Macaca mulatta: one gene and its partners. The protein of the gene in region 1 interacts with the protein of each later gene in a pairwise test. Links are inferred from orthologs where the notes say so. Each region holds a gene or a part of one and is shown on either strand. Other genes may lie near its edges. The genes, in order: LDLRAD1, ADGRG7, PLN, VTI1B, MALL, BNIP3L and BNIP3.

What was found.
Region 2: the proteins of LDLRAD1 (region 1) and ADGRG7 interact in binary tests that used the Homo sapiens proteins (3 or more experiments, as listed by UniProt). The two-hybrid records come from large-scale screens. The link is inferred for Macaca mulatta from reciprocal best matches to the Homo sapiens genes LDLRAD1 and ADGRG7.
Region 3: the proteins of LDLRAD1 (region 1) and PLN interact in binary tests that used the Homo sapiens proteins (3 or more experiments, as listed by UniProt). The link is inferred for Macaca mulatta from reciprocal best matches to the Homo sapiens genes LDLRAD1 and PLN.
Region 4: the proteins of LDLRAD1 (region 1) and VTI1B interact in binary tests that used the Homo sapiens proteins (3 or more experiments, as listed by UniProt). The two-hybrid records come from large-scale screens. The link is inferred for Macaca mulatta from reciprocal best matches to the Homo sapiens genes LDLRAD1 and VTI1B.
Region 5: the proteins of LDLRAD1 (region 1) and MALL interact in binary tests that used the Homo sapiens proteins (3 or more experiments, as listed by UniProt). The two-hybrid records come from large-scale screens. The link is inferred for Macaca mulatta from reciprocal best matches to the Homo sapiens genes LDLRAD1 and MALL.
Region 6: the proteins of LDLRAD1 (region 1) and BNIP3L interact in binary tests that used the Homo sapiens proteins (3 or more experiments, as listed by UniProt). The two-hybrid records come from large-scale screens. The link is inferred for Macaca mulatta from reciprocal best matches to the Homo sapiens genes LDLRAD1 and BNIP3L.
Region 7: the proteins of LDLRAD1 (region 1) and BNIP3 interact in binary tests that used the Homo sapiens proteins (3 or more experiments, as listed by UniProt). The two-hybrid records come from large-scale screens. The link is inferred for Macaca mulatta from reciprocal best matches to the Homo sapiens genes LDLRAD1 and BNIP3.

Annotation. Positions count from the first base shown.
Region 1 is NC_133406.1:186,602,331-186,606,172, reverse strand, and holds the end of LDLRAD1 (low-density lipoprotein receptor class A domain-containing protein 1), read right to left. Parts: coding exon 3,838-3,842; intron 2,152-3,837; coding exon 2,023-2,151; intron 864-2,022; coding exon 715-863; 3' UTR 666-714; downstream 1-665.
Region 2 is NC_133407.1:182,982,954-182,987,530, forward strand, and holds the start of ADGRG7 (adhesion G-protein coupled receptor G7), read right to left. Parts: upstream 3,227-4,577; 5' UTR 2,981-3,226; coding exon 2,866-2,980; intron 341-2,865; exon of another isoform or gene 263-340; intron 1-262. UniProt on the Homo sapiens protein: Orphan receptor.
Region 3 is NC_133409.1:23,532,789-23,535,953, reverse strand, and holds PLN (phospholamban), read right to left. Parts: upstream 1,720-3,165; 5' UTR 1,639-1,719; coding exon 1,480-1,638; 3' UTR 874-1,479; downstream 1-873. UniProt on the Homo sapiens protein: Reversibly inhibits the activity of ATP2A2/SERCA2 in cardiac sarcoplasmic reticulum by decreasing the apparent affinity of the ATPase for Ca(2+).
Region 4 is NC_133412.1:140,834,421-140,838,450, forward strand, and holds part of VTI1B (vesicle transport through interaction with t-SNAREs homolog 1B), read right to left. Parts: intron 2,322-4,030; coding exon 2,130-2,321; intron 1-2,129. UniProt on the Homo sapiens protein: V-SNARE that mediates vesicle transport pathways through interactions with t-SNAREs on the target membrane. These interactions are proposed to mediate aspects of the specificity of vesicle trafficking and to promote fusion of the lipid bilayers.
Region 5 is NC_133418.1:20,555,276-20,559,305, forward strand, and holds part of MALL (MAL-like protein), read right to left. Parts: intron 562-4,030; coding exon 394-561; intron 1-393.
Region 6 is NC_133413.1:28,123,579-28,128,081, reverse strand, and holds the start of BNIP3L (BCL2/adenovirus E1B 19 kDa protein-interacting protein 3-like), read right to left. Parts: upstream 3,067-4,503; 5' UTR 3,010-3,066; coding exon 2,910-3,009; intron 1-2,909.
Region 7 is NC_133414.1:144,070,581-144,075,245, forward strand, and holds the start of BNIP3 (BCL2/adenovirus E1B 19 kDa protein-interacting protein 3), read right to left. Parts: upstream 3,232-4,665; 5' UTR 3,116-3,231; coding exon 3,070-3,115; intron 1-3,069. UniProt on the Homo sapiens protein: Apoptosis-inducing protein that can overcome BCL2 suppression. May play a role in repartitioning calcium between the two major intracellular calcium stores in association with BCL2.

The DNA of each region.
Region 1 (3,842 bases):
TAACTGAACTGGGGGAGATGCTAAGGTTGCATCCAAGCCCAGTATCTCTGCCTTAGGTACCAAAGGGGTAGGAAGTGGCATATGTTTCACATATGTGCCATCCGTGAAGGCTAAACTCAGCTTGTCATTTAGTTCCCAGACATATCATCACTCCAAGGGGTGATGAGATTAGGATCCACAAGTCTGTCTTGGAGCAGTTAGCAGATTTCCTATGAGACACCCCAGAGACAGGCATGAAATCATGGAAGTAGATTCCTTTTCTCTTTGTTGATGTTTTTGTTTTGTTTTATTTTTTTGAGACAAGGTCTCACTCTGTCACTCAGGCTGGATAGAGTGCAGTGGTATGGTCACAGCTCACTGCAGCCTTGACCTCCTGGGTTCACACAGTCCTCCCACCTCAGCCTCCCTAGTAGCTGGGACTATAGGTGTGGGCCACCATGCCTGGCTAATTTTTGTATTTTTGGTAGAGACAGGGTTTCATCACCTCTTCTGTGTTAGAAGCCACCTAACATGGTAACGAGCTCCTGGTCATTGGAGGCATTCAAGCAGAGACTGAACAACTTGAAAGCAGGAGAGAAAATTCCTCTTCAGAAATGATGTGTAGATCCCCTTTCAAAGGCTCCTTCCTGCCCTTGTGAGCTAGGATTCAATTTTCATGTGCAGGGTTATCAGTGCCATTCTAGCCAGCCTTCCATGCTGGCCTGAGTAGCCCACTCAGGGTCCGGGACAGGCATACTCTTCGGACCAGTCGGAGCAGTGCTGTATGTGGTCGCGGCAGAGACGCCTCGGAATACAGTCGCAGTACTTGAAGAAGGTTGAAGGACAATGCCACCACCCAGGGCCACAGGGTGGGCACACAGTCACTGGGGAGACAAGAGCCAGCAGGAGAGCAGTTGCTGTGTCCTGGAATGCTCTGTGCAGCAGGGCACTCCCTAGTTCTGAAACCTGCTCCCCACGGCCCCAACCTATCTAATATGGGTTGAGTGTGTTCCTAGTTTTCCTGCAGCAGAGAGAATCTAGACTCCACAGCTCACAGACTCCACAGCTCACAGGCTATGTGACCTTGCTCACCCTGTCTGAACCTGTTTCCTAGTGTGCTCAAGCTTGTTATTAAGCAAAGGATGTCAGGCAAAGTCCCAGGCACATGGTAAAGGCTGCAATATGAATGGATGCCCTTCCTTACCCTAAGTCCAGCCACATTTACCTGCCATGACTCCCCGAGAGTGCTCCTAGCCTTCTCTCCTCTGCTCAGGCCTCTGGCATTCCTCCCCACACACCCAGCCTCTGCCTACTGAAACCTGTCTATTCTTGGTCTTCCTGAATGCTACCTCTTCTGAGAAGTCTCCCTTGATTCCTCCAGGTCCCCAGCATCTCCTTTTGGCATCAGCATGATGTAAGTCCTGGGGGTACGACACATGCTTGATTCCTGATGTCCCCCACCTGAATCTGATACCAGGTGTGTTCTGAGCACCCCACCAGTGCTCAGAAAATGTTTGTTGATTGACCACTGGGGAAGAGATTGAGAGGAAACTCTAGGGCAGCTATAGGCCTTGGGACTTGGATCAGGAGGCCTGGGTTCACACCTGAGCTCCCTTCCTGTCATGCACTGTACTAATTTTCTCTGCTCAAAGCCTCAGTTTACTTACAAACAAATTGGGGCTGGTGATTCCTGCCCTGCTTTCCTCACAGGGTTATTGGGAGGTGCAGAGATGAGGGAATCCCAGGTTCAAATCCCAGCAGGGTCACGTATGTACTCCTTGCATGACCACCTTCTGGGACCCAGTTTTCTCATCTGCGCCCTTGAAGGCGACTTCCCCACTGCAGAAGAATGAGCCTCCAGAAGTCACTTAGAGTGGTAGTGAGTACCCCACCACAGGATGTATTCAAGCAGGGGTAGAAAACTTCTTCCTAGGATGCAGAGAAGGCATGCAAAGGGGAGCCCTAGAGATTCCCTGGTCACCCTTTGCCCTCTGGCTGCTGCCCAGCCACCGGCTTCAGCCCAGCCTGTGCCCAGACCCCTACCTGGGCTCAGTTCATCGGAGCAGTCCCCACAGTTGTTAGTGCCATCACATTTTTGGTCTGAGTAGATCCAGGAGGCCGGGTCTCCACAGTGGGCCACGAGGAAGCGGGGGAGGCTCTGGGGCACATCTCCTGGGACAGAGGAGGCAGGAAGAAGTTCACATCTGGTCACAGCTGTCTGAGGGTTATCTGGAGAAGGATTGGCCGCCCTGGCAGTTGCCAAACTCAGGATCAGTGACCATCCAGCCCATAAGGGTGCAAGCAGAAGGTTTCCTGGGGAGGCGGCGGAGTCAGAGGGAGAGGAGAGCTCCGTCGCTGGACAGAGGCCCAGAGAGCTGCCCCTCCCTTCCTCAGTTCCTCCCCAGTCGTGGTGTGTTCCTGCCCCACGCCACTGCTGATCCTATGCCCCTCCACAAAGAGCCTCCTTAATACCTATGCAAAACCATTCCACTTTCAAGTTCAGGTTCAAGTTCCATCACCTCCAGGAAGCCTCCTCCAACTGGAACAGCACAGGAATAAATGTGGAAGTCTTACAGTTGGGCCCCGGAGCTCAGGGGAAGTGTGTTCTGTTAGGCAGCAGTGTGATAGGGCTACCAAAAATTCACACAAACTCAGGCCGCACCACTAGAGGTAGAAAACCTCGGGCAGGGAGGGAGCAAGCTTCTGTTCCTTAGACTGCCCAGACCCAGCCAGAAGCGCCGAGGATGTTTCTGAGGCCTGTCCAGGGAGGGGGACATAGGCAGTTGGTATTTATTCTGTGGAGCATTGATGGAATGGGGAGGGCCAGGAACTCGGTCACAAGGGGGCTGACTGTGACCTAGAGAAGGGGATGCGGCCTAGACAAGAGAACCCGCAATGGGGGGCAAGGAAGTAATCTTCAAATCCATGCAGCGCCACCATGATGGCAGGGATTAAAGCATGGTCTATTGGGGCAGGGTTGACAGAAGGACAGAGTTGGAACCAATCAGGGAAGAACCACTCTGGGAGGCAGCTCTAAGTTTGGGACAAGGAAAACCTTCCCATGGAAAAACCTTCCAACCCTTGCATCTCAGGGGGTGCAAACGGAAGCCGGGTGGCCTCGGTTGGGCTTGCTAAAGAGGGGCCTGGGGATGAGCTGGGGCAAGGACTAGATGTTTTTGAAATTGCTTCTCGTCTTGAGGGTCTTTGATGCAATGACTCGCCCTCCATGAGCTCCCCTACCCCACCCACTGCACCTCTCCAGGCTGTCTCTCTCCTGTGGGGTCAGGCTTCTCTCTCCTGAGAACATTCTGGTGTCTGAGGTCCGGGGCCAGGTCTTCCCATTCATTCATTTGCTCATTCATTCAGCAAGCCATTCTGAATACCCCTCTGTGCTAGGCGCTGGGGCCCCCATATCAAGCGGACTGGGCCTGCCTCAGAGGAGTTCACAGTCTGATGGGGGCAGCAGATGTGCCAATCGAGTGACAACCAGTGTGACGAGGGCTGCGACACAGGGAACCACAGGGACTGTGGAAGCCCAAGGAGACAATTTAACCTCGTGTGGGAGTCAGGGAAAGCTTCCTGGAGGAGGTAACACTTGAACTCTGCCTTGAGGGATGAATACGGGTTCTCTGGGAGTGGAGATGCACAGGGTGAAGGCATTCCTTAGTGGGGGCATGTATGTCCCTGACTGGGACCAGGTCGGGGCAGGCGTTCCTGGCTGAAGGCACTGGAGCATCAAAACCATGGGGACGTGAAGGTGCCTGGTGTGTTCAGGGATGACTGAGCTTCAGTATGGCTGCAGAGATAATTAGGCTGTGGGGGAACCCCTGGGAGGGGCAGCACCGAGCGGGTACTCACGGCAC
Region 2 (4,577 bases), on another chromosome or scaffold:
CCAATTTTAAATCAGGTAAGCGGCCTCTTTTTATTCTCTTCTCCAGCCTCTCTCACTATCCCTCGACCTCTTTCTCCTTTCAGTCTTGGCACCACCCTTCAATCTCTCCCTTCTCTTAATTTCAATTCCTTTCATTTTCTGGTAGAGACAAAGGAGACACGTTTTATCCGTGGACCCAAAACGCCGGCACCGGTCAGGGACTGGGGAAGGCAGCCTTCCCTTGGTGTTTAATCATTGCAGGAACGCCTCTCTGATTACTCACCCACGTTTCAGGGGTGTCTGACCACGCTGCAGGGACGTCTGCCTTGGTCCTTCACCCTAAGCGGCAAGTCCTGCTTTTCTGCGGGAGAGGCAAGCACCCCAACCCCTATCCTCCCTGTCTGCCCCTTCTCTGCTTTTCTGGGGGAGGAACAAGTACCCCGACCCCTTCTCTCCCTGTCTCTACCCCTTCTCTGCTTTTCTAGGGGAGGGGCAAGAACCCCGATCTCTTATTTTGCCCCCTCTTATTTTTGCGCCCTGACGTCTTATTTTTGTGCCCCCTCTTATTTTTGCACCCTGATCTCTTATTTTGGCACCCCAATACCTTATTTCTGCTCCCCGACCCCTTTCCTGCTTTTCTGGAGGGCAAGAACCTCCGAACTCCTTCTCTCTGTGTCTCCACTCTCTCTTTTCTCTGGGCTTGCCTCCTTCACCGCAGGCAACCTTCCACCCTCCATTCTTCGTTCTCCATAACCTATGTTCTCAAGAACTTAAACCTCTTCAACTCACACCTGATCTAAAACCTAAACGCCTTATTTTCTTCTACAATGCTGCTTAACCCCAATACAAACTCGACAGTAGTTCCAAATAGCCAGAAAACAGCACTTTCGATTTTTCCATCCTGCAAGATCTAAATAATTGTTGTAAAATGGGCAAACGGTCTGAGGTGCCTGACGTCCAGGCATTCTTTTACACATCGGTCCCTCCCTAGTCTCTGTTCCCAATGCAACTCGCCCCAAATCTTCCTTCTTTTCCTCCCACCTGTCCCCTCAGCCCCAACCCCAAGCATCGGTGAGTCTTTCTAAAAATCATCCCTTTCTACAGACCCATCTGACCTCTCCCCTCCTCGCCAGGCCAAGCTAGGTCCCAATTTTTCCTCAGTCTCTGCTCCCGCACCCTATAGTCCTTTTATCACCTCCCCTCCTCACACGGGTCTGGCTTACAGTTTCGTTCCGCGACTAGCCCTCCCCGACCTGCCCAGCAATTTCCTCTTAAAAGTGGCTAGAGCTAAAGGCATAGTCAAGGTTAATGTTCCTTTTTCTTTATCCGACCTCTCCCAAATCAGTTAGCATTTAGGCTCTTTTTCATCAAATATGAAAAACTTAGAGGCCCAGTTCATGGCCCGTTTAGCAGCAACCCTGAGACACTTTTCAGCCTTAGACCCTGAAAGGTCAGAAGGCCATCTTATTTTCAATATGCATTTTATTTTATTACCCAATCTGCTCCTGACATTAAATAAAACCCCAAAAATTAAATTCCAGCCCTCAAACCCCACAACAGGACTTAATGAACCTCGCCTTCAAGGTGTACAATAATATAGTAGAGGCAGCCAAGTAGCAACTTATTTCTGAGTTGCAATTCCTTGCCTCCACTGTGAGACAAACCCCAGCCACATCTCCAGCACACAACTCCAAACACCTGAACCGCAGCTGCCAGGGGTTCCTCCAGAACCTCCTCCCCCAGGAGCTTGCTACAAGTGCCGGAAATCTGGCCACTGGGCCAAGGAATGCCCGCAGCCCAGGATTCCTCCTAAGCCGTGTCCCATCTGTGCGGGACCCCACTGGAAATCGGACCGTTCAACTCACCTGGCAGCCACTCCCAGAGCCCCTGGAGCTCTGGGCCAAGACTCTCTGACTGACTCCTTCCCAGATCTTCTCGGCTTAGCAGCTGAAGACTGACTCTCTTTTCGGACTCAGCCTGCCTGCACCCAGGTGAAATAAACAACCATGTTGCTCACACAAAGCCTGTTTGGTGGTCTCTTCACATGGACGTGCATGACACTTACCCTTATTTATTGTTTCATTAGAAGCTTTCTCTGATTTTTACAAAAGGGAGTATGCAGCCCATCCAATATTGAATTCCTTTATGGAGAAGCTCTACAGCCCAAGGGATCCAGCATTAGGATCATTGAAATTTTCTGTTCTGAGTTACAGCAGGCTTTGCTTTAACATCATTGTTTTACTCAATACTTCCCCTCCCACGTCCTCCTTTTCCAGGCCAGCTCTGGCACACAGTGGGGAACTAATAAATATTTGTTGAATAATCAGGAAAGTCATTTAAAAATGATTTTTAAATTGTTGATTAATTTCCTACATCTGGAAAGTGGGAAATTTGTGTGCAAACCATGAGATCATTTCACTTAAACCTTGGTGATGAGTTTCTTTAACTTCTCTCTTAAAGTGAAATTCTATTCTGTGCATGTTTGATTGTGTGTGTGTTATGCACGTGTGTGTACGTGTTTGCTGCATGTGTGTGTCCTTGTTCATAACGATTTACCCTTTCCTTAATTTAACCCAACAGACCTAAACATGTGTTACTAATTGTTTTAATTATTACTCTTCTACCAATTCAGTCTGGAGTTAAAAGAGCATAAAGACGCCAATTCAATTATGTCACTCTTCCCCCTCCCCATTCACACCCACACCTATTCATTTCTGTTCAACCATCTGCTAGGCTTAACTGACTTGGTCTTTTATATCCCATAAATGGCATCTTGCTGGGATGCCTCAGACTGGACAAGGCACCTCCCAGTACTTGTGCCTCAGGTGGCAGGGACAGAGGTCCCATGCCTTCTCTTACTCTGAGTTAAACATAGCAGGACATTACCTCTTTGGATCCTGATCACAATTCTCCAGATGCCCAGTCCCAAAATGATGCCAGTCAGTAGCCCACACACGACAGCCACCAGCACCCTAATGTTCCAGGCACGGCAAGAAGCCATGGTGAAGCCAAACCACAAATCCACTCCTGGGTGAGAAACAACTAGCTTCTTTTCTTCTTGAGTTTAATCAGAAACTTCTAAAACAGAAAAATAAGTCCTCCCCTCAGTGATCTGTCAGATGGATGTCTTTATATTTTAGGACTTTTGAGGCTAATGCAGTAGGATGCCGTTTGAATCTCCTAATAAAACGTGCATACTCTGCTTTCAATTTCCTCATCCTTCACTGAAGGAGAACGTGAAAGAAGTGATTAGAGTTATGGGAATAGGGAGATAACTCCAGGCAATAAAGAAGAAGGGGAGGGACTAGCCACAAGGGTCAAAGAGTGAATGTCCAGACAAGTCACAGAGTGAAGCAAGGGAACAAAACCGAAGAAACCAAAGAGGAAATCATGAAGGCAGTGGATGCCAGTGGTCACCTACGGCTCGGCTTCCTGTGTTTTTGTCTTGGGAGGGTACAGCACGGATAGACTGGCAGGTGCTTCAGACCACACAAAACACTCTCTCAGGGAAATGAACTAGTTTGTCAACAAGAGGATAAATGGCAATCACCACATGTGATTTTAATGCTTTCATTTCTTTAAGGAGCCTACATTTTGACAGATGCAGTTGGTGAGTGGGCATACTGGCACAGGGTGGGTCTTGAAAAGCACTAAAGCCCAGCATGATAACCCATCTGCTACAGGCTGAATTGTGTCCCCTCCAAAATTCATATGTTGGAGTCCTAACCTTCAGTACCTCAGAATGGGGCCTTATATGGAGATATGGTTATTACAGAGCCTATCAAGTTAAAATGAGTTTGTTAGGGTGGTCACTAATCAATATGGCTGGTGTTCTTATAAGAAGAGGAAATCTGAACACAGACATGAATAGAGAAAGATGATCAGAAGGACAGAGAGAGAAGACGGCCATCTACAAGCCAAAGAGTGAGTCCTCAGCAAGAACTGGCTCTGCTGACACCTTGACTTTAGACTTCTAGCCACCAAAACTGTAAGACAATAAATTTCTGTTGTTTAAGCCATCCAGTTTGTGGTACTTTATTAGAGCAGCCCTGGGAAGCTAATATATCATCAGAGTAATTACAAACTGGTGTCTCTCTATAGATGCAGCTCTGACCCTCCCCTGCCCAGGCTCCCATGTTCTCCTTCCCTATCCTCCACCCTTACCTGAAAGAACAGATAAACGAACATTCACCTCCTTAATCACAGTTTTGTTCTGGTAGAGAGAACAGGTGCTCTGGTCTTCTCTGGACACTCCCTCGCTTCATCAAATCCATATTAAATCCCTTTAATGTGTTCGAATTGGTACAAGAAATGAACAGGGTCCTCAAAGAACTCGTATTTTCTCAGGGGTGAGATACCTAGATATAGCCACCTATAAGGCAAGTCATAACTGTTAAAATAAAAGATATCAAATTTAATTATTATGGAGCGTGGGTGCTCCTTGACTTAAAATAAGATTACATCCCAATAAATCCACCTTAAGTTAAAAATATCATGAGTCAAAATGCATTAAATATACACCTAACCTGCTGAACATCCTAGCTTAGACTAGCCTACCTTAAAGGTGCCCAAAACACTTACAATAGCATAAAATTGGG
Region 3 (3,165 bases), on another chromosome or scaffold:
ATTCTTTTTCCCCACTCTCCACACCCCTAAGACAAGATTGCAAGACCAACCCCTGCTCTTCCTCCCCGTCTTTCTCCTTCTCTTCCTCCTCTCAATGTGAAGACAATGAGAATGACGACTTTTATGTTAACCCACTTCCATTTAATGAATAGTAAATATATTTTCTCTTTTTTACAATGTTCTAAATAACATTTTCTTTTCTCTAGCTTACTTTATTGTAGGAATACAGTGTATAATACATATAACATGCAAAATATGTGTTAATTTACTGTTTATGTTATCAGTAAGGTTTATGGTCAACAGTAGGCTATTAGGTAGTTAAGATTTTGCAGACCCATGGATTGTCAGCTCCCCTAACCCCCATATTCAAGGGTCAGCTGTAGATGTAATAGATGGGCCAACAAGTTCATTTCAAAATATAATCTAAGAATTAGTTAATATTTGGAGAGAGAATTCATATTTTTATTTTTTTAAATACTTGAGATAATATTTTTTTTTGTCACTGGAAATCTTGTATTATTTTCCTTGCCTGCATTGGATGTTAGGTTGGAATGGAAGACAACCTGTAAAATCAGTCTGAAGTCTTAAGGTTTCATGATTCAAAAGATACAGCGTGGTAAACTAGGTAACTCTAGGTCAGATAATTCACTACAGTGTCTTAAATGAAGATTAGATTCTATTCTGTTAGTATATTAGTGATATGACTAATCTCACTGTTACATATTAACCCCCAGTTCTCATCTGTTGATCATATGTCTTAGAACAGATTTATGGTTTACCTACAGGTACTAGAATTCTGTGATTCTTTGAAAAAATTACTTAAGAGTAATTTTATTATGTAAGAGTATGGCCTTACTTTTCCATACTTGATTCTCATCAACTTTAAAAAATGTTAATGTGGCATAGCAAAAATGCAATTTCTGTTTTAGAATGTTACTACAAAGAGTTACTACAGAGTTCTTTATAATAAGATAACAGATGTGAGGAGTCAGTGGACTGTTTTGAATAATGACACTTCATTTGTGTTATTACTTTGATACTTGGTGAAGACTTGAAAAACAGTATTAAAGAAGCTTTTACAGTGTAATATAAGTTATATTCACCTCAAAAGAGTAAAGATAATGCTTTATATATGAAGTGAACTTGTTGGCAGTGCAGTTTCAAAACTAAACTCTTATTTCATCTTCAGAAAAGATTTGGGATACAAATTTGTGAGCCATGTTGAGGAAATCAACAGTTACATTTTATACACTTATTTTAAAGTTAATTTTTGAAAATAAAGCCCTTTTCATGTTTACAAGATCCAGCAGATGAATACATTTGCTAACAATAAGTTTTAGTCTTAATCTTGACCTTTTCACAAAGAAACTCTTCTACTCAGGAAGTGGTCTGTTTTACAGTATTGTTTTCCCGTCTGCATGGGATGACAGATTTTAAGCTGATGTGGCAAGTTGCAGATCTAGAGGTTGTAGCAGAACTTCAGAGAAGCATCACGATGATACAGATCAGCAAGAGACATATTAAGATGAGACAGAAATTGATAAATAGATTCTGTAGATTTTGACGTGCTTGTTGAGGCATTTCAATGGTTGAGGCTCTTCTTATAGCTGAGCGAGTGAGGTATTGGACTTTCTCCATGATACCAGCAGGAGAGGAAGTCTGAAGTTTTAAGTGATTGAGAGAAAGATAAAAAGCTGGTAGCCAAATATGAGATAACTGTCTTCTTTTAGGTAGCCTGGAATGTAAAAATAATAAATAGATTAGAATAATATATGTAACCTATTATCAGGACAAAAAATACAATGTTGTATTAATTCATCTTCCTCAGCACTATTGTTATTTATAACATCAAGTGTTTCTATAGTCTCTCTCTCTCTGTCTCTCTCTGTGTGTGTGTGTGTGTGTGTGTATGTGTGTGTGTGTGTGTGTGTGTGCGCATGTGTTTCCATGTGTCTCTCTTTCTCCTTTTTTGATGGGGCACAACATGACAGTCTCATTTGTGTTAGGAGTAGTAACTTCAGTCTTTGCCTTTTTCTCCCAAATTTACTACAAGTATTGCAGTAATCCTCAGTGTCATCCATAAGTTCCTGGAAACCAAGACTTTATGCAAAACAACATATAACAAAACCATTTTTACCCTAGGCTGATTGATGTAAATAAGAGGTAAGTTCCTATAGCACATTTCTGGTCACAAGAACATCACCAAACTTCTCAATAAAGACCCAAACACTTCTAATATTAAACGTTGAGAGAAATATGAATTATATGTACATTTAAGAAAGATTAATAAAAACCAGATAGGCCGGGTGCAGTGGCTCACGCCTGTAATCCCAGCACTTTGGGAGGCCAAGGCGGGCAGATCCCCTGAGGCCAGGAGTTTGAGACCAGCCTGGCCAACATGGTGAAACCCTGTCTCTACTAAAAATATAAAAATTAGCTAGGCTGGTGGCATGTGCCTGTAATCCTAGCTACTTGGGAGGATCGCTGGAGCCCAGGAGGCAGGGGTTGCAGTGAGCCCAGATCATGCCACTGTACTCCAGCCTGGGTGACACAGCAAAACTCTGTCTCAAAAAAAAAGCCAACAAAGATAATTACCCAGTATTTCGTGAATCAGTGAGTAACAGTGGTTGTGTTGGTCAATTAAAAACATGGAATCAATGTTTGAGAAATACAATGGGATCTCTGAGTGCTTTTGTGCCATAGCATTTATTGTCATGCATTTGTATGATCACCCTAGACTTTACCAGTTTTTATTTGATAATAATTTGTATTCATCCGTTCATTCATTTTTCAACCCTCTTATTCTGGTTTGGGGTGCTGGTGGCTGGAGCCAATCCCAGCAGTCAAGGAGGGAGGAACCCACCTTGGATAGGAGACCACTCCATCACAGGATACACTCATCTACACACTCACACTCAACCCAGGACAACTTAAACACGCCAGTGAACCTAATGTGCACAGTTTTGGGATATGGGAGGAAACGAGAGTCTCACAGATATGGAGAGAACATTCAAGCTGCACACATACTTAAATGTTATAACAAAATGACATAGAAGGAAATGATGTTATTTGAGGACCTGCTGTATTTGGTTTAAGGTACAGCTCGTTTTGGGTTATTCTTTTGGGTAAAAGTTCTCACATATAGTTTCTTTAAATCTGTTACAC
Region 4 (4,030 bases), on another chromosome or scaffold:
CAAAAGGAACCCAGCTCACAGAGGCCTATTACAGAGCAGGTGACCACTGGCAGGACCAAGAAGCCAAAAGATTGGCTCCCAGAGCAGAAGTAGCAAGAAGCATTTTCTTTTTTCCCTTTTTTTTTTTTTTTTTTTTTGAGACGGAGTCTCGCTCTGTCGCCCGGGCTAGAGTACAGTGGCACGATCTCAGCTCACTGCAGCCTCTGCCTCCTCGGTACAAGCAATTCTCCTGCCTCAGCCTCCCGAGTAGCTGGGATTACAGGCAGCTGCCAACACGCCCAGCTAATTTTTGTATTTTTAGTAGAGACAGGGTTTCACCATGTTGGCCAGGCTGGTCTTGAACTCCTGATCTCAGGTGATCCACCGGCCTTGGCCTCCCAAAGTGCTAGGATTACAGGCATAAGCCACCATGCCCCGCGCTCTGTAGCATTTTGACTTAATAAATGGCATACAGACCAGCAGATGAGGAAACCACTGAATGAGGTTCAAATAAAATCAGTTAGGTTAGCACAAAGGAAGAAGGAAAAAGGTTTTCAAAATGAAAGATGCAGATTTTCAACTGAGTAGGCTAAAAAATGACCAAGAAAAGATCAGATCACATAAATGAACTTCAGACAGATTTGGAACAATAATTTTACTGAAGGCATGGATACCTAAATTATGTTTTAATAATTTCTGAAACTCATAATTTTAAGGCAAAATTGTTTGGACTTCCTCCCCAACTTTGGCAACATGACTAAAGTCACTTTTACAACTCCCACTTTCACCAGCTCCACCTGCCTGCCTTTTTCCAGTCTCCCTTTAAGTGATCTTCTGTCAGCTTCTAGTCTGTAGTGATCCCTCGGGCATCCATTTGAAAATTTTAAATACTTCATTCTCAAGCGGTCTAGTTTTGGCATCAGCCATGTCAAGCCAATATCATTCTGAATGTCTCTTAAACTATAATCAGGATGCATCGTGAAACAGGATTTGTTTAAAATTGGAGTATGAGCCTTTCTACCTCTGTTCAGTCTGAACTGGTAGGCCCCTTTCTATTTCTCTGCCATGCTACTTGCCAGAGAATTTCTACTTTGTGTTGTGTTTGTGGAAGACAGACCAAATGCAGCACATTTAATCTTTCAGACGTTTTATTCCTTTAACAATCCAGCTGCTCTAGATGGTTTCAGAATACAGATGTTCAATTAGTCCAATTTTATAAATCAGAATCCTGAAAGCCAGACAGGCAGTCTGGCTTACTTTCCATTACCACAGAATAAAAAGATAGAAAGTTCCTTCTCGGCGGCCGGGCGCGGTGGCTCAAGCCTGTAATCCCAGCACTTTGGGAGGCCGAGACGGGCGGATCACGAGGTTAGGAGATCGAGACCATCCTGGCGAACACGGTGAAACCCCGTCTCTACTAAAAAAAAATACAAAAAACTAGCCGGGCGTGGTGGCAGCGCCTGTAGTCCCAGCTACTCGGGAGGCTGAGTCAGGAGAATGGCGGGAACCCGGGGGGGCGGAGCTTGCAGTGAGCTGAGATCCGGCCACTGCACTCCAGCCCGGGCGACAGAGCCAGACTCCATCTCAAAAAAAAAAAAAAAAAAAAAAAAAAAAAAAAAAAAAAAAGAAAGTTCCTTCTGGAGAAGCGTCCTGCATTGGTTACTGTATCTCAGTTGTTGGGCCATCTTGACATTAAGGTAAAGGAAAGCTTGGATTGATTGTGTAACAATATTCTGATAAATTAGAAACCTAACTGAATTTTCCAGGCATACTTGAGAAAGTGATTCTAAAATTTATATGAAAGAATAAAAAAGATCAAGGAGAAAAGAAATTAGATCAATGGGTCAGAATACAGAATCCAGATAATAAGAATAGGTAACACTTATATACTACTACATACAAAGCACTGTTTTTTTTTTATTGTAAGACTGTATTATATTAAGGATAAAAATAAATCTAAATATGCATATGGTTCAAAAGGCCTGCATTAAATAGAGCAGATACCAAGGGGATAACAGGACCTGGATGCAAAAAAGAGGATAAGGGTGAAAAAAATGAAACAAGAGTCTAGTGTACATTGATAACATGAAATACCCCAACAATATAGGCCCTTAAGGAAAAAAAAAACAACAACAACAGCTAAAACTTACCATATGCTCATTCTCTAGAGCATATATGCCATATTTCATGTCTCCTCGGCCTCCAGGTGTGGCTGTCAAAGGTGTGCTTCTCACCTCCCGATGGAGTTTAGCAAGGTCCTTCCGGTAGTTTCGAAGTTTAGACATCATGGGGTTACGGAAAGACAGGGGTGCGTAACGTAGTTCCTCCTCCATCTCTGCCAGCTGGGAAGGCAGAAAGTAGTGAGTGGATAGCCTGGTTCTTCCCGCACTCATTTGGAAATATGCCTAGTTTGGACTAATCAAACTACTTATTTATTTGGACTACACCAAGCAAATAACCATATGCTCCATGAGGCAGGGACCATGTCTGGCATGTTCCTCTCATTCTGAATGCCTGGCGTACTGTCTAGCAAGCACAGAGCAGGCCTTCAAAATATATGAACTGAATGAATGAATGGAAAAACAGGAAGTACTTTATAGCTTACTAAACATTTTTATATACATTCTCCATTTAATCCTCACAACAAGTCAATAAGGTAGGAAATGCTCCATTTCATATAAAAAACTTAAAGAAACCTGCTCAAGATTACACAAAAAGAAGGAGTCCGGGCCAGGCACAGTGGCTCACACCTGTAATCCCAGCACTTTGGGAAGCCGAGGCAGGAGGATCATTTGAGCACAGTCTGGGCAACATAGCAAGACCGCATCTCTATTTAAAAAAAAAAAAAAATTAAACAGAAAAGGAGTCAGGGTTCAAAATCTTCAAATTCTCTCAGCTCTCTTCAATATACCAAGTTTTTAGCCTGGTATGATTGAACACTGCCATCAAAAAGTGCTTTGAAGTCTACCGTACTAAAAGTGATAGGGGTCTGGCATCAGGGTTCTTCCCTTCTCCTGCTCCTCTTTCTGAAAATCAATTAAGTTTGTCTAGAGACAACCAGGGGCCTACTCTAGAGCAGGGTGCTTTAGGGGAATCAGACTTCTATTTTTCTGGGATAAGTAAAATATAACACCTGGACATGTTCACAAGAGGCCCTAAATTATTTTCATCTGCCTGGAATGGTCAGACTAGGATTATTACTTTTGTTGAGTTTGGAGAAAACAAGTATCTGAGCATCAAACAAATCAGTAGTAGCTAGAAGATTTTAAAAATGCTACCAAGGTATTAACTGAAACAGGAGAATGGCTACAAACAGGTATCATGGATATGCCCAGCTGCACATAGGTATTAAGAAAAGCTCCTAGTACCCCCATTAGGAAGAAGATAGTTTCCACAGTCTGGTGGCCTGGTCTTTCTTAAAACAGATGCAAAACAGAGAAAAGGATGCAGATGTGCTTCCTTCTCAGAACTTCACTGTGATAACTGGCAAACTGAACAAGCAAGAAGGAAGTTCGTTGGCCAAAAGAGAATTTTTTTCTTTATCTGCTCTGGGGTAGCAAATACAGGGGCAATTATTTCTGCAGAGTACTAGCAGGGACCAGAATTTTGGCCCCAATCTTAATGGGTTTGCTGAAGCTAGAGTATAATGAGATGGAGTCAAAGAACTCTTGCTTCCATAGGGCTGGAGCGAAAAAAAAAAGAAAAGCCACAGGTGAAGAGAAGCAGTTATTAAACTGTTCAGTAAACTGAACCAACTTCTGACAAACTTTGGGTGCCAACTGAGACTCATGCATGTCTTGCCTGAGGTACCAAGTCCAGCTACTATGTTGTCTTTTAAGGCAGAAAGGGACATGGTTAGAATTACCTCTAAACTATATTTTCTGTGACAGTAAGTTTAAGAAAGAACAGTAATTTTTTTTTTTTTTGAGGCAGGGTCTTGCTCTGCCACCCAGACTGGAGTGCGGTGGTGCAATTGTGGCTAACCACATGCTTGACCTACCAGGCTGAAGTGATCCTCCCACCTCAGCCTCCTGAGTAGCTGGGTCCGGAG
Region 5 (4,030 bases), on another chromosome or scaffold:
TTACATATAATTCATGTGGGATATGGAAGAAATAACCTGTCACAGGGATTGTGATAGAGCCTTGAGATGGGACTGATTTTTTCCTACTAGCATTTTCTTCAGCGTTGCTCCAAGGATTTTACCAGGAAGAAAATTTAAGGGAAACACATCAGAATATGCTTGATCACAGGGCATTGTGTGTTCTCCTAACAGGGAAGGCAGTGAAGGGGAATACAAGGAATGATTTACTCTTGCAGAGAAATGTCTTCATTTTGGCCTGGTAGTAACATACTAAGATAAAATGTCTTGGCTCCATAGAAGCCTAGCCCAAGATACCTCCCTGCCCAGAAAGGCCAATTGTCCTCACCCAACCCAGGACGTCCACCCAGGAGGAGCCATGCTGCTGGTTCTTACCAGAACTCTCCAGGATTCAAATATTTTGTAAAATCCAAACAAGTAAGACAACAGGAACATCAAGGAGATGAGAAACGAGGTGATTGAGACATACATCACCCATCCTTGCAGCAATGGGAATACTACGTGGGTGGCGGCTACCAGGGTCCAGACCAGGAACCCAAATATCTGGAAGATAAAAGCATAAAAGAAGGGGCTTCATTAGCTAGTATGGAGCATGTTTCTCTTTGCAGGGCATCTCTTTTCTGTGTCTAGCTACAAGTTCAGGTGAAATTAGGAGGGAACCAAGAGGGAAATGGAGAAGGAAGCCTGGCCCCTCTGAGTCACGGTAAAGTCAGGTCTGATTGTTAGAAAATTCAAGGGGTTAATGCAGAGGTCACAAACAGAGGGACTCAGCCAAGTCTGGCCTGTGAATGTGTCTTTTGGCTCAAGCAGTACTGGCATACACACTTTTAAACAATTCTGAATAAGTTCCCAATGTTTAAAACAGGATATTTCACATGGAAAATCCAGATTTGGGACATTTCTTTAGAAATCTGTGGTTCTGGCCACAGGGTACCCATTTCTCAGGCCAGAGTAGGCTGAAATGAGTTGTGACTGTCTCTTTAAAAGGACCTGGAGTCCTCAGTGGACCACATCCCCTCACCCAATTAACCTCACACCATGCTGTGGGACATTCCCTGTTGCTCACTGACACTGTGGAATTACTAATGAGATAGAGCTTATTTTTGTGTATTTGTTAGCCACTAATATTTCTTCCTCTGTAAAGTTTTTTATTTTTTTAATCAGTTAAATATTTTAAAATAGATTTTTCTTTTTCTTATTGATTCATAGGAATTCTTGCTAATGGTGTGGATTTCATGGACTGTCATAAACATTGCAAATATATTCTGCTAGCATTCACATACTTTATGGTTTCCTTTGATTAACTAAGCCCGTAATTTTAAGGCAGTTGAATATGTCAGTCTTTTCCTTTATTGACTATGTTTTTATCAAGTTTAAGAAATTCTTCTCTATTTTGAGTCATGAAGATATTCTTGCATCCAAGATTTTCCTCCTGAGATAATTTTCCTTCTTCCTGGAGTGCACCCTTTAGTAATCTCTTTAGTGAAGGTCAGTGGGTAGTAGTCAGTTTGATTTATTAGAAAACGTCCTTAAATTTCCCCTGACAATTATTTTCTCTCCGCACTTCCGAGATGTATTTCCGCCATGTTGTATATTTCCCGTATGCTTCTGTTGTGTTTTGGCTTCCACGGTTGCTGCTGAAAGGTCAGCTGTCAGTTGAACTCTTGCTTTGTAGGAATCTGTCTTCCTTATTCGGCTGTATTTAGTCTTCACTCTGTCTTTAGCATTCTGCAGTTTGTGAAACAGTGATACCATGTGTTGAGAGGTGGATATCTTTTTATTACTCCTGCTTAGTGTTCATTCTACATTTAATATCTGAAAATTCCATTCACTTGGCCTTAACAGCTTGATTCTGCAGTTTATGGCTTCCATTAACTTCTATTCTTGTTCACTTGTTTCCTCTCATGTTTAGTGAATTTTGACTGGGAGCTCATGTCTGTGGAGGTAGCTCAGTTCTGAAAGATGTATCAGAAACTTTCTAGACCAAACAACTTCACTCACTTTTTTTTCTTGAGGGAGTCTCTCTCTGTCACTCAGGCTGGAGTGCAGAGGTGCAATCATGGCTCACTGCAGCCTCCAACTCCTGAGATCAAATGATCCTCCTACCTCAGCCTCCTAAGTAGCTAGGACTACAGGTACATACTACCACACCTGGCCAATTTTTATTTTAATTTTTGTAGAGACAGGGGCTTGCTTTGTTGCCCAGGCTGGTCATAAACCCCTGGCCTCAAGCAATCCTCTTGCCTTGGCCTCCCAAAGTGCTGAGATTACAGGCATGAGCCACTGTGCCCTGTCTTCAAGCCCTTGTCTATAGCTCAGCCAAAAGATATACAACTTGAGTTCTGCTTTCCAAACTATATCCCTAGCTTTCTGGGACCAGCAATTCTTATATTACAACTGGCCAATACATAGACATAGATATGTCACCCTTTACTTTCTGAGGCTTCCCCTTGCTGTTGTCAGCTGTTGTCTTTGAATTTATGGAGCATTCTTGGGCTCTTAAGGAGAAAAGGGGAAAAGGAGATGAGAAGCTAGAACTGAAGCTAGAATTTGCCTCTTAAAGCACCAGTTCTGGGAGCAAATTCCCCCTTAACAATCAAAATCCAAGTGAATTTTGGAAGTCCTAGGCTGGTCTGAGATTGCCGGAGAATGAGTCAAGGCCTGCTTGTCCTAGGGAGGGGGCGGGAGGGATGGGAGCCGCTGTCCTCTGGCTCCCGCTCAACTGTGCTGTTGCGTGTCAATCCCAGTGATAAGGGCTGCTGATGCTTCAGAAAGGTACCAGGGCTCAGTTTTAAGGCACTTGCCAAGAAGCTATGAGAAGTGCATTAAAATGCTGGCACATGAACAATGCTGGTTATTAGTGATTCACCAGGTACTTTACAGTTTTTTAAATGCATTCACTCAGACTGCCTCATTTAGTCCACACAGCAATTCTAACTCCCTTGGAAAGACCAGAGAACTACCATTTGATACCTTCCACTGCTTACTGCCAGCTCGTCTGTGCCAGGCATGGGGACAGCAAGGGAACCTCAGCCGCATCTTGCCAGTCAGTGCCTGCAGACGGGTCCTGGTCCCCCTCTTGCCATCAGAAGCTTCCTTGGCCAGACACAGTCATGCATGTTACTTACATTCTCATGTTTAATCTTTGCCACAGTCCATGAGGTAATACTGTACCAGAGGGGACTGGGGCCTGAGGTCACACAGGCAGTGCGTGGTGGGACTAGGACATGGTGTAGGACACTTGTGGTTCTTGCCCCAAAAACCAGATTTCAAGGCCAAAGGCAGGGCCAGGTGGAGGCTCCTAGAATGTGCCAGAGGGTGGCCTGCTAGAGCCTCAGCCAAGTTCTGCCTGGGGCATTAAGGGCCTTGATGGGGATATCATACCTGCAGTCTCAGGGAGCCCATCAGCGGCCTCCTCTCTCTGGGTTCCAGCTACGGCTTAGGGATCCCTGTCCTGCCTTTCACAACAGGCCAGGGGCCTCTGAGCATTTGGGAATCTACTCAAATGTCACGGGAACCTTCCTGCAATGGCTTCAGTGTTGCAGAATCAATGTTCTGCAGAAGAAAGTCACTCACTTTCTTATTTCCACACCCCTCTACCTCCTGAACAGTAGGAGGGGCCAGAGCCAAGGGCTGCAGGTGGATTTAAACCCAGTGGAGTTCATGATCTCATTTCTGTCTTAAGTAGTGTAGCTTGGATTCCTTATAGTTGTGAAAACTTTGAGTGTTTGTTTTTACTTCTTCTTAAAGCTCACATTTGGCTTTCCAAATTTCCTGGTGGCCTAAACTGCTTTCCCATTTTAATGCTTATTTTTGTATTTCCTCAGAGCAGGAGATATTTTTTTTTCAATGGTTGGGGCTGGCCCTCAACGTGGAGAAATATTTGATTACAGCGAGCCATTTAGAGCAAGTAGATTTCAAGCACAACTTTGGCAGATCCTTTTCTTATAAGCAAACACACACAGTCATATATAAATTTTCCAAAAGGCTGAACTGAAACTTGGAAGGATGT
Region 6 (4,503 bases), on another chromosome or scaffold:
TCAATAATTTGCCATTGAAACTCTGCTTTGTTCCCTGAACCAAAGATAAAAAGTCCCAAACCCAAGAAAATCTGTACATTTCATCTCCTGTTTTTCAGTTGTGCAACTTTACCCAACAAAGTCCTTCAACTTATCGCAATTTGGATAGTACTAGGCGCCTGAATAAGTTGTTTTGCCCAATGCCCAAAAATCACTTCAAGGAATCAATGAGGCTTCTTGTTTTGTTCAGTGCAGTGTTGTGTAATGAGCTAAAAAAACGAACAGAGTTAAGAGGAAAGAGGGGAGTAATTAAATATGGCATTATCTAAAAGCTTTTCAGAAAGCTCACCCTATCCCACGTAAAATATTTTCTATCTAGATTTCCCAAAGCAACATTTTGATATCCCATGCAGGCTGAGTACTTCCACCTCTGTAAGAGTTGATGTCAACCAAGCAGGAACCGACTGGCCAAAGACATCAAACTCCTCATAGGTCTGTCAGACTCCAAGATAAACAATGACATATGGCTCAGCCCTTTTTTTTTTTTTTTTTTTTTTTGAGACAGAGTCTCGTTCTGTCACCCAGGCTGGAGTGCAGTGGCCCGATTTCAGCTCACTGCAACCTCTGCCTCCCGGATTCAAGCGATTCTCCTGCCTCAGCCTCCTGAGTAGCTGGGATTACAGGCGCCCGACAGGCCAGCTAATTTTTGTATTTTCAGTAGAGAGGGGGTTGGTCTCTCACCATGTTGGCCAGGCTGGTCTCGAATTCCTGACCTCAAGTGATCCACCCGCTTCGGCCTCCCAAAGTGCTGGGATGACAGGTATGAGCCACCACGCCCTGCCTGGCTCAGCCCTTATTGTTGTTGTTGTTAAAGGGTCAAAGGAAGATGAAAATCCCTTAGATTTCAGTGAAATCATGTACACCTACCAAGTATCTTCACTCATAAGAAAATTGCACAATTAAGAAACAGAATACTAAAAAGAAACAGAAAGGTGGGCCACCTTTGTGAATTAGGTAGAATAACACACTGACAAAATAAGACACACAGACCAGCAGGAGGTTCTGGACCACTGAAAAGAAGTCCTGAAAAGAGGCCGGGTGTGATGGCTCAAGCCTGTAATCCCAGCACTTTGGGAGGCCCAGGCGGGCTAATCACGTGAGGTCAGCAGTTTGAGACCAGCCTGGCCAACATGGTGAGAGACCAACCCCCTCACTACTGAAAATACAAAAATTAGTCTGGGTTGGTGTCGGGCGCCTGTAATCCCAACTACATGGCGAAACTTCGTCTCCACTAAAAATATAAAAATTAGCTGGGCGGGTGGCAAGCATCTGTAGTCCCAGCTACTCAGGAGGCCGAGGCAGAAGAATCGCTTGAACCTGGGAGGTGGAGGTTGTAGACAGAGCGAGACTCCATCTCAAAAAAAAAAAAAAAAAAAAAAAGCCCTCCCTGAAAACAGCAGTAGACAGGCTGAACATGACAACCTCCGCTTTGCTCCCAGCCAGTTGTGAACTTGGACCAGGCTCTTAACTCTAGACCTGTTTCTCTACAGGTAAACAACAGGAGGCAGTTAGCTAGCTCTGAAGTTTTTCCCATTCTCAAACCTAAGACAGTATGCTAAACATGGGCAAATAACTTAAAATTGCATAGGAATATGTGATACGAGTAACGTTTAATGACTCAGACATTCATCCTAATTTACTGTGGGAAATAACATAACCGTCTTACATTCTGGAATGTAGGACACTTAAAGGTTTTGGGTATTAACCCATCAAAAAACCTGGAGCAGCAGCATCCGTCTTAAAATCTCCAAACTCCGTTGCTACCTGGTGACGGCTGAAACTCTCTTCCCTAGAATAATCTTCAGGCCACGCTGGAAGCATCTCCCTCTTACGAAAGATACTGCATGACCTTTAAGCATCCAAGCGGTTTTGAAAAGCCTTCATCTGGCCATATGCTCGCTACCCCCATTATCTCTTTCCCAAGAGTTGAATTAAAGAAAGGTTAGGCAAGAACCCTTCCAAGAAGGCTCCCGGTTCTCACGACCAGGAACAATCTGAGGACAAGATGTCTGGGCAGTGGAATGTTATGAAAAGACCCTGGCCTGGGTTGTCCATCAGCCTTGCCCGTTAACTTTCAATTGCCCGAGTGCGTTTTTAATTCCGTTTCTTTAAATGCATGGCCCCAGACTCCCTGACGTGTGCAGTCCCGGGTGGTTCAGGAGGCTGCTCTCAGGTTTACTGGGCGCACAACCTCATCGCTTAAAAAAAATCACTTGGGCAACTTCGAGAAAGCTAATAAAAAAAAATTAAAAAAGGAAAAAGGAGAAGCAAGGCACAGCCTCTCACCCCACACGTGACTGAAGCCCCTAGACCAGCAAATGAATTTTCCTGACAAACATGTGGCAACAAAGGAATGCTCGCTGGGGGCTCCCGAGCCCGCCAGACGCTGCCCGCCCGCGGGCCCCGCACACCTGATCCCAGACACGTCCCGCGGCATCCGCCCGCCCCGCCCCGCTCCCGCGCGTCCATCCCCCGGCGTCCCCGCCGCACGTCCCCATTCCGGCCCACGTCCCCTCCGCGGCCCGCTCCGCCCACCTGGCCTCCCCGCCCCCCAGGCCCGCCCCCGCCCCGCCCGGCTCCGCTGCTGGGGACCACCCCCAGCACCAGTGGGATCCGCGCTACCCGCGCCGCTCCCGGACCGCGAACCCAAACGGCCCCGGCCCATGACCCCAGGAGGCAACAGAGAGGCCCGGAGCAAGGCAGGCGCCCATCCTCCTGACAGGTGACGGGAGCTGTCAGTCACCCGGACATCACCGGCCTGGGCCAATGAGCTGCCTTCTCCTCCCGCCTCCCGCGCCGCGCCGGTGGCGGCGGCCGGGGCGGCTCCTCCTCCCCCATCCCCTTCACCAAGCCCTCGGCCCCTCACTCACTATTGAGGCCGGCCGGCTGCGGCAGAGACTGGCCACTTTCCTCGCAGTTGTTGTTGTTGTTGTGCAGGGGCGGCGGCGGCTCGACTAGGTGGGACGACATCGTCGGACAGCTGGCAGGGCTCCGGCAGCAGCAGGACCGTCTCAGGCTCTCAGGCAGCAACACAACAAGCCGAGTCCCCCGCCCCCTTTTCTGCGCCTGCGCTGTCCCTCCCCTGCCACTGACGTCAGGGTCCGCCCAGGCCACGTGATGACAACACAACAAGCGACCGGACGGGGCGGCGGCGTTCCCCTGCGGGTCCCGGACGTGGAGACGCGCGAGTCAAGCTGACGCGCGCGCCGGGAACGAACTCTTGCGTGTGACTTGGGATGACCGGATGGGATGAGTGATGACAATGGCACTGCGAGAGAGGATGAGAAGAAGCGGAATGAGGAAGTGCGCTCCTGTGTTAGCGCCCGTGCCTCCTCTCACACAGGCTCCATAGTGCTTCATCCAGCCCTGCACATGCATCTGTTTTCTACTGCTTAGGACTCACTCCTGCAATAGGTGTCTTGGGGACACAAAGGAAGCCCCAAACCCAGGTGCTTCCACTTGTAAACTCCAAATAAAGCTGCTGAAACATCAACACTCCATACGGGAAACAAGGGAAGGCCGCCCCCAAATTTAATTGTTATAGAATTTTTAAAATGTCGATTACAAACACACCATCATTGTAAAAAAGAAAGAGAGAAAGAAGAAAGGGAAAGAAATAAAAAAGAGAAAAATTCAGGAAAAACAGAAGAAAGCAATCACCCAAATCCCATCGACTAATCGATTTCTGGGACATGACGTGGGAAGCCGTTTATCCTGTACGTGGATGACATTTAACTATTTTCCTGAGCACACCTCCTACTTCACGTCTCCATGTCTTCGCCCTGTCTCCTTGGTCTGATTTATGAGTCACATATGTTTCTCTCAGTCTCTGACTTGTCTTTTAATTTTTTTTTCACTGTGTAGAAGCGTAAGGTTTTCATGTAATCAGATTTATCATTCTTACATGACTTGGGGAGACTTTCGCACCAAAATAATTAATCTATAATTCCCTTATAACTTTTTCTAATTTTCTTATAGGCTTAAATTTACATTCAGAGCTCTAATCCATCCGAAATTTATTTTCCATATGCTGTAAATGATTTAAATTCAATTCTCAATTTTGTAGCCCATTGACCCAATAATATTAATTTTAAGCCATCCTTTCTACCCTGATTTGAAATTGTACCTTTGTCACTCTCTGAATGCCCACAAAATTGTGAGTCTGTTTCAGGGCTATCTACAATACCTCTGTTAGGTAACTATTAAAGTTTCTCTTCGTTTGTCTTTTTCAGATGTTAATGACTAGTTACTCTTCAGATGAACTTAAAAATGGACTTGTCCAAGATTGACCATGTATTGGCAATTATTGAAGCCATGTAATGCATTATTCTTCTAATTTTTAAATATATTTGAAAAATTCCATGCTAAAAGGTTTTTTCTAAGGATTGATTTGTCAAATCCCTTTGCAAATTATTTTAAGATTTTGGTCAGAAATGAACTCTATTAATAGATTGAGTGCTGTTT
Region 7 (4,665 bases), on another chromosome or scaffold:
TTTTCCAAAAACCCAGCCTCAGCCCACTCTGAAAGTGACTATTTGGGATGCTGGGGTGGAATCCAGAAAATAGACTGAAAAAGCTCTGGGATAAATGTCAGAAGAGAGGGAGGCAGCATCCCAGAAAAAAAGCCTTAAGCAGAGGCGCTGTGAACCCCAGAGGGAACTAGCACCCCCAAAACCATACAAAGGGCTTCTTCCCCAGAGGAGGTGGGCTCTAAGAAATTGCTGTTTTTACCTTTAAAGCTTCTCAGGTTAGTGTGGAGAGGAACAAAAGTGACTTGCCTGACAAAATATTTCAAGCATCAGGTCAGCCCGGTAGGTAAATCAGGTCCCTGGCTTCTAACGGCTCACTTCCCTCAACCTTCCCCCCTTGCCAGGCTCTCCTCCAGGACCCTGGCCTATGGCACGCAGCCTCAGGCATCTGGGCTCCAGGTATCCCACTGGTGCTTAATGCAGAGTCCTTGGCTTCTCCTTAAGTTGCCAGCCTTATCTTTCACTCCACCTCTAGAACCTCATTGTGACCATCTATGAAATGCAGGTCTTGGACAAGAATCTAGATGTCTGCAACCCCTTCAGGTCTCAAAGCGCACAATGCTACAATTCCGCTCCAAAATAAGTGGAAGCATCTTTTCCCCTATTACAACTTTACCCATGGTGAGTTGCCTCTGACAAGAGAACCATCTGCCAGTTGCAGACACAGCAGTAGGTGAAGAGCTGAGGGCTTGGATCATTAAATACGGAAGCTCCAGAGTAAATGGGCAAGCAGTTTACTGAACTGATGCCCTCCTGGTGAAGACAGTGGGTCCTTCAAGGAAGTGACGCCAAGCAACCGTGACCCGGTCTCATCACAGAATCCTACCTCTCCTGCATGTCAGCAGTGACATGCCTAGGAGAAAAAGCCAAGTTCTCGGCTGCAGTGAGCTTGATAATGATTGTGCTACTGCCCTCCAGCCTGGGCGACAAAGTAAGACTGGGCTCGTAAAAAATAAAGAGGAAAAAAAGGACGAATACGAGCATCCTGCGGGTCAACAACAATAGCCAGAATGATCAAGAGATAGAAAGGAACGGAATCAGCCCATTTTGCCGTCAACTCCTCAGGAAAAGCAGCTGGCCCCAGAGGGTACAGGCAGAGAGAGTGCTCGCTGCTTCCATCTGTGGGTCTGGCTGCAAGGCTCCCACAGTTCTCTGTTCCGAGGTAAACAAGGGGCAGTGAAATCAGAGGGGCAGAGGTGAGCGCTGCCTGGGCGAGCCACCGCTCCGCGCCGGATTTGCAGGCGGCTGGAGCCCGCGGGACAGGCCAACCCCGCCCACGCCGAGCCCACGGTGGCCCCGTCCTGACGCGCGGACACTCAGGGCGGCCCAAGGAATCGCCTACATGGGATCCACCCCGCGGGTAACTATCCTTTTACAGAATAAACAAAACAGAAAAACAAAAATCTCGCAACTCCGGCGCTGGCCGTCTTGCACTGCCAATGACTCAGCAGCCTGTGTAAGTTACATACTGGAGAGAGGACTGAGCCACCCCGGGGCCCCCTCCACCTCCCAGCGCCCAGATCCCCAGCCAGGCAGTGAAACGCACAATGTCAGGAGTAACACAACCGGAAAATGGGTGATTTTATGGCAAAGAGTTTATAAAAACATCCCTTGGATTTTATAACAAAAGTCAGGAAAACACCCCTTAATATATTCCAAAATAGTAATAACCAATGTTTAAATTTCAAGAGGAAAAATCCGAATTACAGGATTTTTAAAAATATGGTTCTAGGGCAGGCGCGGTGGCTCAGACCTATTAATTCCAGCACTTTGGGAGGCCGAGGCGGGAGGATCGCTTGAGCCCAGTTCAGACCAGCCTGGGCAACACAGACCCCGTCTCTTAAAAAAAAAAAAAAAAAAAAAAAAAAAAAAAAAAAAAAAATGGTTGTAGTGTTCAAATATATATATATTTAATATATTACAGTAACTAAGTCCTGCCTAGTAAAATTTTTTTTTGTAATAAAATTAGCAACTCACTGAATTTATGTGATACATGGTTTTAAAAAATCTCAATGAAGATTAAAAGTTCACAGTCAGAGGTTTCCGCAGCCCGTTCCCAAGCTTATTTACATGCTAATTTTGCTTAGTAAACTCTGGCTTCAGAGAACACAAAGGTCAGCTGCCACCAGGTCCCTCCTCCCAGGCTTGGGCCCTAGGGACCCTGGGAAGGCGGCTTCAATGTCCGCTTCCCTGAGCAAATGCTGTCTGGACTCTGACGCGGACCCTCCGGGTGGGGAGGGTCTCCACGCCACCTGGCTGTGCGTGGGGCAAGTCCTGCACCCCGGGCCTGCGTTTCCCGCTGCGCGAACGCATGGTCTTGCGAATCTAGCCAAGGGCACAGGGCGAGCCTCTACTCGGGCATTAAGCAGCCTGTAACGACTGAGTGCGGCACTGGCAGCGTCCTTGTGCTTGTGTTTTCTTAACCCGTAAGTAATTTAAAGCTTTGTTTTGGAACGACCCTCTAGTAGAACTGGAACATGCCCATTAAATGCCATATTTTAAAAACACTGTAACCCCCTCCCATCTCCGCCTTCACCCTTCAGGAAATCCTAAATCACCACGGATATAAACATTAATAACAAAATTAAAGCACATAACAGTCCACTGGCCACGCCTTGGTGTTTGGTCGTTAAAACCAATACGGGTCTGAACTACAGACCGCGGAGGGCAACGTGGACTTTGAGGCTTCTCGGACCAACTGCGAGACGCAGATTCACCTCCAGGTGGAATTCCAACTTGGCGGAGCTGGAGAATCGGGGCTTTCCCGTGCGGTCCGACCCGGGTCCAAGCCAACCCCCGCCCGAGCGGCGAGGCCGCGAACCCCGGGCAGTACGTGGGGTCCCCATGCCCCGGGCTCCGCACGCCCGCAGGAGGGGTGGGCACGGGAGGGGCGGGTGGCGCAGCCTCGCACGGCCCGCGATGTCCCCCAGGCCTCCCGGGCAACCTCCCTTGGCGCCCCCTCGGCCTCCCTCTGGCCTTCCTCCAGGCTTCCCCCCGCGCCCCCTGGCTCCCGCGCCGCCTCCCCGGCCTCACCCTGCAGGCTCTCCTCCTGCATGCCGGGCGCTCCGTTCTGCGACATGGCGCCGGAGGGCGACTGCGGCGATGGGAATCCGCGCCGGGCTGCGGGCTGCGGACTGCGATTCAGCTGCGGGCGCTGGGAAAGCGGAGCGCCGCGGCCAGCTGCGCTCCTGGACTGAGCCCAGCCCCGCCGCCCGGCGGGAGGAACTCACAGGGCGGGGCGGGGCCAGGCGGATCTGCGGCCGCGTCGCCCATTGGCCGCGACGCGGGGCCTGCGCGTGCGCACGGGCGTGGAGTGCGTGTGGCACGTGCGGCGCGTGCGCGGGGCGGGTCCTGGGGGGTGGGCGAGGGGCTTGCGGTGCGCGGGACGCGGGCGGGGACAGGGGCGGGACGAGGGGCGCGCAGGCGCTGGGGCTTCAGCGACCGCCTGAGGTGAGCCGGAACGGGCGGGGCGCCGCGGCCTCGTGACGAGTGGGCTGCGAGGTCGCCGCCGCGGTAGGCGGTGGGCCGAGTCCTTTTAAAGGGGCGGTGGGGCCGGTGGGCGCCCTGGGCACTCGCTATCACGGGGACGGCGCTGCGCGTCGGGGCGGGGCCGGTCTTTACATCCTGCGAGTGGGGAAACTGAGGCGCGGGGCTGGCAGCGTCCGTGCGGGGGGCGTGAGGACGTGCAGGGAAGCGGCCGCTGCGGCCCGTAGGGTCGGGACGGCCCGTGGGGTCCCCCGTGGGGTCGGGACCTGCGCCGGGGAGGGAGCTGCGAGCGGTGGCCGGAGTTGAGCGTCTCGGGACGGGGCCGCGCCCCCGGGTCTCTGCCCGCCCCGCCGGGGCGCCCCTGCGTGAACAGCGGGGCCCGTTGTATTTGGGGCGTCCGCCCGCAGGAAGAAGCGGAGGCTCGAGCAGGGTCGGAAGAGTCCCCGGAGGGAGACGCAGACCCAGGGGCCCGGGAGAGGCGCCGTCCGCCTCTGCGGCGAGGGGCTTCCGGGGGGCGAACGCGGTGTGGGGCGGGCGGTCCCCGGGGGTGGGCTGGGGCCTCCGCGGGTCACGCGGCGGAGTGGCGCTGGGCCAGGCCGGGTGGGTGCCGGGCTTCCGTGGGAGCCAGCCTGGCAGGGGGGCCTCGCGGCCTCGGGACCGGGAAAAGGCGCACAGTCTTCAGAGGAAAGTCAAGTTTTCTCATTTCCCGCTTTTGATCAAAAGTCTTCCTTTTTGAAAGCATTGTTGATCCAAATCCAAGTATCGAGGTGCGCCCCAGAAACGCTGCTTCCCAAACAGCCGTGCCTGGTTTTGTGGGGAAGGAGGACGCTTCCCGCCAAGGAACCAGGCGCTCAGAAGCTGAACCGAGGTCACAGCCGCGGAGCCAGACCTCAGTCGCTGCGTGTTTTTCATCGCTGCTCTTGCCTGTTGAATCGTCTCTAGTCTTTGGAGTGCCATGATCTTGGTTTTCTGAGAAGTAACAAACATCCAGAGGCCAAGGTGGGGCACAAGCCTTTCATCTCAGCACTTTGGGAGGCCGAGGCGGGAGGATCGCTTGAGCCCAGGAGTTGGAGACCAGTCTGGGCAACATGGCGAAACACTTTCTCTACCAAAAAAATACAAAAAAGTTAGCTGGGTATGGTG